Linked DNA regions of Lepisosteus oculatus. The protein of the gene in region 2 interacts with the protein of the main gene of each other region in a biochemical or structural test. Links are inferred from orthologs where the notes say so. Each region holds a gene or a part of one and is shown on either strand. Other genes may lie near its edges.

What was found.
Region 1: the proteins of arl2 (region 2) and unc119a1 form a complex in vitro, tested with the Homo sapiens proteins (2 studies listed by BioGRID and IntAct, with this or other methods). The link is inferred for Lepisosteus oculatus from reciprocal best matches to the Homo sapiens genes ARL2 and UNC119.

The regions. Positions count from the first base shown.
Region 1 is NC_090721.1:8,824,450-8,828,195, forward strand, and holds the start of unc119a1 (protein unc-119 homolog A), read right to left. Parts: upstream 2,333-3,746; 5' UTR 2,033-2,332; coding exon 1,732-2,032; intron 1-1,731. UniProt on the Homo sapiens protein: Involved in synaptic functions in photoreceptor cells, the signal transduction in immune cells as a Src family kinase activator, endosome recycling, the uptake of bacteria and endocytosis, protein trafficking in sensory neurons and as lipid-binding chaperone with specificity for a diverse subset of myristoylated proteins.
Region 2 is NC_090713.1:21,450,201-21,453,946, forward strand, and holds the start of arl2 (ADP-ribosylation factor-like protein 2), read right to left. Parts: upstream 2,685-3,746; 5' UTR 2,590-2,684; coding exon 2,525-2,589; intron 1,654-2,524; coding exon 1,543-1,653; intron 474-1,542; coding exon 311-473; intron 76-310; coding exon 1-75. UniProt on the Homo sapiens protein: Small GTP-binding protein which cycles between an inactive GDP-bound and an active GTP-bound form, and the rate of cycling is regulated by guanine nucleotide exchange factors (GEF) and GTPase-activating proteins (GAP).

The DNA of each region.
Region 1 (3,746 bases), on a different chromosome or scaffold from region 2:
AGTTGGAAACTCCAACATGGTCTCTCTGCGCCGGGAACGCGGGTGGACGTGCCGTGACTGTCACTGTGTGTCGAACATGGATCGAATGAGAAACTGGGGAGATAGAAGGATTGATCACTCAGCCACGCTGGGTGGGGGGGGGTTAAACAGACGGCCCCCGCAGAGCCCGCGCTGGGCACTGCCAAAGCAGACCAAAAGCAATCGCTCAGAAACAGGCCGGAATAAAACCGGCGGCTGTGCGTTGTGTAACATCTTCCGCGGTTCTTAAAATAGCCAGGGCCCGCCTTTCTCGATCCATGCGACCACCTGTTGCCTACCCAGGGTCAGGTCAGTCACAGAGCGGCCCGGCGCCGCTCGGGATGCGACACTCGCGGTTCTGCGTGTGCGCACCTGCACACGCGTCATGTCACTCGTTACCGCTGTTGGGACACTGTGGCTCAGTCTCCGCAGAAACATGCACAGTTCATGCACACTCACGCAGCGGGAGAGAGAGAGACTGCGGGATGAGACTATGGGAGAAAGATAACGAGTGACTAATCCCTTATTGCCGGCAGGCATTTTCCTTCCAGTGGCAGACCCGGTGTGAATGTGGCAACGTATTCGCTGTCTGTCTCACCCCTGTCCGCTTGGGAACACATTTGTTTTATTTCCAGGATTATATCTTCTATTATTTTATTAACATATCCACATATTCTGAAGTCAATCCTAAGTATTTAAGGTCGAGGAACGGTCGGAAAACCTTTGCGTTTTCTGTAATGGAAAATTACATAAGGCTCTCTGTCTCCCTTTCCAGCCCACTGTATCGCAGAAGGCTGCGAGTCCAGTGTCGGGAAGCCGCTTATAACATGTCCATTACAGATCCGTCTTAAAACCTGGCAGCCTTTTTCCCGTCCGTGTTAACACACACTCTTGCGCTCCCTGAAATATCAGGGGTTTGGAAAGACATTTAACGTGAAAACCAACATCAGGAACCGGGCAGCGGTATAAGATCAGTTTCTGCTTGCGTTTAATGATAACGCTATAGCGGATCAAGAGGAAATGGCTGGGAACACACTGTATGAGCGAGCTCTCGCCGTGTTTGTGAGCTGTCGCTCAACAGCGGTCTGTACTTCAGCCTCTCAGGTAAATGAGGGCTGTGAAAGAGGTTTCGCCCCTTCACAATCATACCCGTCGGCTGTAATGCACGGGGGAGACCTACTGGGAAACAGATTGTCAAGCTGTACATGAGATACGGAGCTCCGAGATGCTAACAACCACCAAACCGGGGGTAGCGTTTATAACAGCAACTGTGCTCCTCATCCTGGTTATCGCGCTGCTAAGGTGTAGCGGTTTCAAGTGGGGGTGCCAAGGTTGTTTCTATATCGGGGCTGAACTCCTACTGCACTCCTCTTTAAAGCGCACATTTATGCCAAACTAACCAGGTCTTCCCTGAACAGAAAACTACCGATCTGCGGTGAAACTCCGACCCCTGACGGGCTGTATTTGATCCGTTCAGACAGGAAACAACGGGTGCAGATGAGAGTTTCCACGCCACGGAAGAGCCGAGCAGCGACGTCGCAGACTCTAGCTACCCCGTCGGTATCGCCCCAATGTGGCACCTAGGAAATACGGTCCCCGTCCGCCCTTCGGGTGCCGAACATTACCGGAGCGAGATACCGCGCACACGGGCATCCTTTAAGACCGGACGCCGCGACAGCGATGACGATAACTGCAATAACCGACGCCACTTACTTTCGGTGATCTTCTGCAACCCCAGCACATCCTCGGGGGTGATCACGGGTTTCCTGAGCAGTTCCTCCTCCGTGGTGACCGGGACCCCTGTTTCGGTGGAGTTACAGCCTTTCTTCACTCTCATTGCCACGAGTGGTTTGGGGGTCGGGGTGTCCTGGGTCTGGTGGTCGCTGCTCTCCGCGCTTCTGCCGCTGCCACCGCTGGGATTATTGCTTTTACTAGTGCCAGACCTCTGAGCGCTGCTGCTGGATGAGTCCTGGCTATTGCAGACAGCCTCTGTGCCGATACAAGAATAGCTCATTCTCCTCCTCCCCCCCACTAGTAAAGATACAAAACACTCTCCCCCCTCTCTCTCCCTCGCTCGCTCGCTCGCTCGCTCCCGTCAGTCGCTTCGCTGCTAGTGCGCCCGCTCGGTATTTTATTTAAATCCCCCTGTTCTACAGATCCTTTCCGTTTTCGGCCAGCGACTGCCCAGAGCATCCGCCGCCCGCGCCAGACTGCGCCTGTGCCGGCTCTGTGTTGAGCGCTAGCTCGCCGAGCGCCACTCTCTCCGGCCGAGACGCAAAGGAAGCGGTCTCTCCGCAACACAGACACTGACGGACGCGCACACGCCACAGACATGCACACGCTCTTGTACACAGTGGGGTCCCACTTAGTTTCCCCGGCTTTCGGAAAGGGAGAAGCCTTTATTTCTGGTGTCACAACGGCGGTAGCGCCAGCGGCCGGAGCGACCGGCGCACGTCTGGGGCGGCGAACGACAGATTCTGCAGCCAGACTCAGACGTGTTTGTCGCCATTCACGCCTGGATAATCGTGAAATGTATCTGCCTCTGTACCGAAACCTCCCCTCTCAGACTTGTGGTATGGCCCATTTTTCTGCGTTGGCAGGAAGCTGAGGAGAAGTTGTCGTTTTTTTTTTCTTCGCTCAGTGGGTTTGGGTAGCGATGTACCCGTGTCTCAGAGCTTGGCTTTGAACGTTTCCACGGGCACGCAGTTTGCAGTAATCTGCTCAAGACGTCGCCCTATTTATTATGAGGATTACGACCAAAATATTGAATAGAAATGTGTTACGTAGTTAACATCCACCATTTATTTATTACAGCTACACCACACAGCCCTTGTGAATAGCATTTCATGCCCCCCATACAGTATATATTCAGGAAGTGCAAAAGTCGGGACAATAAAATATCGCAGGAAACAAGTGGGCTAATCTACTTTTAATTTTCAAAGTGTAGCCCAAGATAAGTCACTGAAATGTGGTGTTTCTGCGCTACAGCCTTCGCTCCCCGTCTCCGGCGCTGAGGAGCTCTGAGGATCTCGCTGAACTTCTGGATAAATCCGTGTGATGAGTCCGAAACGAACAGAATGTCAGTGCAGGCGGCGGCGGCGGCGGCGCTGAAGTTCAGACATGACACCCGCCGCAGTAACGCCCGGATTTGAGCGACGACCAGCCGCCTCGATACAATCCCCGCCTGCCGTCATCCCAGCCGCCGGAGCTGTCCTGCCTGGCGAAGCACCTCGAAACCGCGAGTGTCGATGTGATCAATTCCAGCAATGACAAAGACGATCTCCCCTGCGCTTAACATCCGCTTAAGGTGGATGCTGGTGGTGGTGGAGGGGATCCCCATTACCTGTAAAGCGCTTTGAGTGGAGTGTCCAGAAAAGCGCTATATAAGTGTCAGCAATTATTATTATAATTAACATGCTGTCTCTCAGTCTGGTGGTGTGTTTCAGGGAGAAGCCCAGAATGTCGGATGCGCCCCTCGCTGCTGGCTCCTGTAGGAAGCCCCCCTGCGCTGTGCTCTCTCGGATCCCGTGAGTACCGCGGTGGGCGGCGACGCTCAAGAGACACGGCGCTGCCATACTTCGCCGAGACCGCGCTCGCTGTCGGTGTTGCGCGGGGAAAACTTCGGTTGTTGTTGTTTGTTTGTTTTTCGGGGAAACATTCAGGGCTCGTTCAGAAACCAGACTCAAGATGTGTCGTTAAAAGACTGTCCACATTTATTCAGGAATAGG
Region 2 (3,746 bases):
GATGGCGTCCTTGGACAGCGCCCCCGGCAGGTCCTGCTTGTTGGCGAAAACCAGGAGGGTGGCTCCGGCCAGGCGCTGCCCCCGGAGAGAGAGGGAAACCGATGTGAACACGGGGAGAACGTGCAAACTCCACACAGACAGCGCCCCAGGAATCGAACCCAGAGCCCCAGAGCTTTTGAGGCGGCGATGCGCTGGGCCCTGTGCCGCAGTGCTGAACCGTATCTCCCGCAGTGGCGAGGCTCCGGGCTCAGGCCTGCAGTGGGCAGCAGGAGAGCAGTGGGCGTGTAGCGAGCGAGCAGTGTGCTCGTACCTCCTCCAGGAGCAGGGAGCTGAGCTCCTGCCGGCAGTCCTCCAGTCTGAGGCGGTCAGCACTGTCCACCACCCAGATCAGCCCGTCGGTGCTCTCGAAGTAATTCCTCCAGTAGGAGCGCAGGGACTTCTGCCCTCCCACATCCCAGATGTTCAGCTTGTACCTGCGGGGAGGGCGGAGGTGGTGGGAGACTTGGAGTGTCCCCTTACTCTGACCTGCCCCAACTCTCTCTGAACCCCCCCTCGCTCTCTGAACCCCCCCTCGCTCTCTCCGAACCCCCCTTCAATCTCTCTGAACCCCCCCTCTCTATATCTCTCTAACCCCCCTCCCTCTCTCTCCGAACCCCCCCTCAATCTCTCTGAACCCCCCCTCTATATATCTCTCTAACCCCTTCTCTCTCTCTCTGAACCCCCTTCAATCTCTCTGAACCCCCTTTCAATCTCTCTGAACCCCCCCTCGCTCTCTCCGAACCCCCCTTCAATCTCTCTGAACCCCTCCCTCTCTCTCCGAACCCCCCTTCAATCTCTCTGAACCCCCTTCTCTATATCTCTCTAACCCCCTCCATCTCTCTCCGAACCCCCCTTCAATCTCTCTGAACCCCCCTCGCTCTCTCCGAACCCCCCTTCAATCTCTCTGAACCCCCCTCCCTCTCTCTCTGAACCCCCCTTCAATCTCTCTCTGAACCCCCCCTTGCTCGCGCTGAACCCCCCTCGCTCGCTCTGAACCCCCCTCCCTCTCTCTCTGAGCCCCTCTCCCTCTCTCTCTGAGCCCCCCTTCAATCTCTCTGAACCCCCCTCCCTCTCTCTCTGAGCCCCTCTCCCTCTCTCTCTGAGCCCCTCTCCCTCTCTCTCTGAGCCCCCCTTCAATCTCTCTGGACCCCCCCTCGCTCGCTCTGAACCCCCCTCAAGCTCTCTGAACCCCCCTCCCTCTCTCTCCGAACCCCCCTCAATCTCTCTGAACCCCCCTCAATCTCTCTGAACCCCCCCTCAATCTCTCTGAACCCCCCTCTCTATATCTCTCTAACCCCCCTCCCTCTCTCTCTGAACCCCCCTCAATCTCTCTGAACCCCCCTTCAATCTCTCTGAACCCCCCTCCCTCTCTCTCTGAACCCCCCTTCAATCTCTCTGAACCCCCCTCTCTATATCTCTCTAACCCCCCTCCCTCTCTCTCTGAACCCCCCTCAATCTCTCTGAACCCCCCTCTCTATATCTCTCTAACCCCCCCCCGCTCACCCCCGGTGCTCCAGGGTCTTGATGTTGAACCCCAGGGTGGGCGAGACGGTGCTCACGTCCTCCCCGTTGAACTTCTTCAGGATGGTGGTCTTGCCCGCGTTGTCCAGGCCCCTGGGGGAACGCCTGCGTCAAGGAAACACGCTCCAGCTCCTCTGACGCCCCTGGTCTGTCCCAGGACCCCCCCCGGGCGGACAGACCGACTCCCGCGGGCCAGTGTCATCGTCCTGATGAGGACGACGATGACGGCGGGGGTGTTAGTGAAGACCGGGCGGGTGGAGACAGACAGATGTCCACACAGCTGGGGGGAAACCGCGGGTCCATCCGTCCAGGCCCTGACCGCTGTATCCAGGGAGCCGGAGCCTATCCCAGCAGGCAACGGGAGCAAGGCAGGACACCAGTCCATCGCGGGACACCAGTCCATCGCGGGACACACACTCACACCAGGGCCTGTTTTCCCAGAAGCCCACCAGCCCGTCTTTGGGCTGTGGGAGGAAACAGGAGTACCTGGAGGAAGCCCATGTGTGTGTGTGTGTGTGTGTGTGTGTGTGTGTGGGGGGGGAGAACATGCAAACTCCACACAGACAGCACCCCAGGAATCGAACCCTGGGCCCCCTCAGTGCTGAACCGCAGAAGCACGCACGTACAGGAGGACCTGACACACAGAGGGCCAGAGACGGACACGCCAGCACAGCAGATCCGCGACGGGCTTCCGTGTCGCCGAGAGAACCGAAGACCGAGGGAGAAGAGTCGCCCGGTCATCTCTTCCGAAAAATAACTTGCACACAAGGGCAAGCACAGAACGACTGCGTGTGTGTGTGTGTGTGCGCGATGATGTCAGGAGAAGACGTTCATTCCAGATGAGCTCTCGAGTACTCAGGGCAACTGCCGCGATTTTCGGGGAACCCCTTAAACAGCTGAGCTATCCAGTGGGGACACCCTCCCCCACAAATCTCCTGACCTCCGCCGGTATTGCAAAGGATACAGCATGAGCAAGCGCATCTCCCTCTCCTTCTGTTTCATCTTCTTCAGGATCGTCAGCAAACCCATTAAGTAAACGAATTGAACACCAGCCCCGGCTCTCTCGGTCTCCCCGCAACGCAACCAGACCAGACCAGGAAGAGGGCGCTCCCCCGGGCCCCGCCCCCACACGGCTCCTATTGGTTGATTCTGAGTCGCGGCCCGCGGGAAGGAGCTCTCTGGTTGGCCCATCAGTCACGTTGACGTCCCCCTCCCTCCCTCCCTTCTTTGGCTTCTCTGCTGGAAGAGGGATGTCCGGGGCGCGAGGAGGTTCTCGTCGGCATTTCTCACAGCGCCGCCGTGCGGGCGCTACAGGAACAGACCACGAATGGCCGTTTAACCTGTAATTGTAGTCCCAGCGCCAAAGGGGAAAAGGACTATTGTCGTACAAAACACAAATTACTTCCCCACGATGTTTTTGCGTTGCATGTGGCGTCACCATGGTCGTACTGTTCGGGGTTCGTTTGTCATACAAAAAAAACCAAGCCTGGGGTTTTTTTTTTCTTTCAAAACAGACGCTGAAACGCTGTTCAGCTCCGGTCGTCGCTCTATAGAAATTCTATGTCTATAGGAACAAGTAATCTTCCGGGCTGAAAAGAGAAGAAGGAAAACACAACGTTTCGGCCGCGGAGCCTTCTTCAGGTGCGAGAAAGATAAGAGAAGATCACTGTATCGGCCCTATACGATTTCTTGCATGAGGAATTTGTCTTTTCGCAGACCCCAGCTTGCTCTCCGTGAGACACACAGACAGGGAGAGAGAAGCTGGGGGTCAGAGCACAGGGTCGGCCATTTACATGGCCCCCTGGAGCAGCTGGGGTGAAGGGGCCTCGCTCAGGGGCCCAGCGGAGTAGGATTCCTCTGCCGGCCACGGGATTCGAACCGGCAACCTCCCAGCCACAGGCGCAGATGCTGAGCCAGAGAGCGAACGCACTGCCACCACGGAGAGGGCAGTCCAATATACAGTATGTTCTCTGTATTTGTAGCCCAAATATACTGATGGGGAAAAAGAAACACACCACCTCCTCCTCCTCCACACTCCGGCCCTCCCGTCTGCGTGGGACAGGCTGAGGAGTGACCCGTCCGCGAGGGGGACCCGAGGCCACCGCTGACGCGTCCATCGCCGCCCCTGTCTGGCCCCGGCCAGTGGCCTGTCACTGATGCGGGCGCTGGGTCTGCCCGCAGTCTCA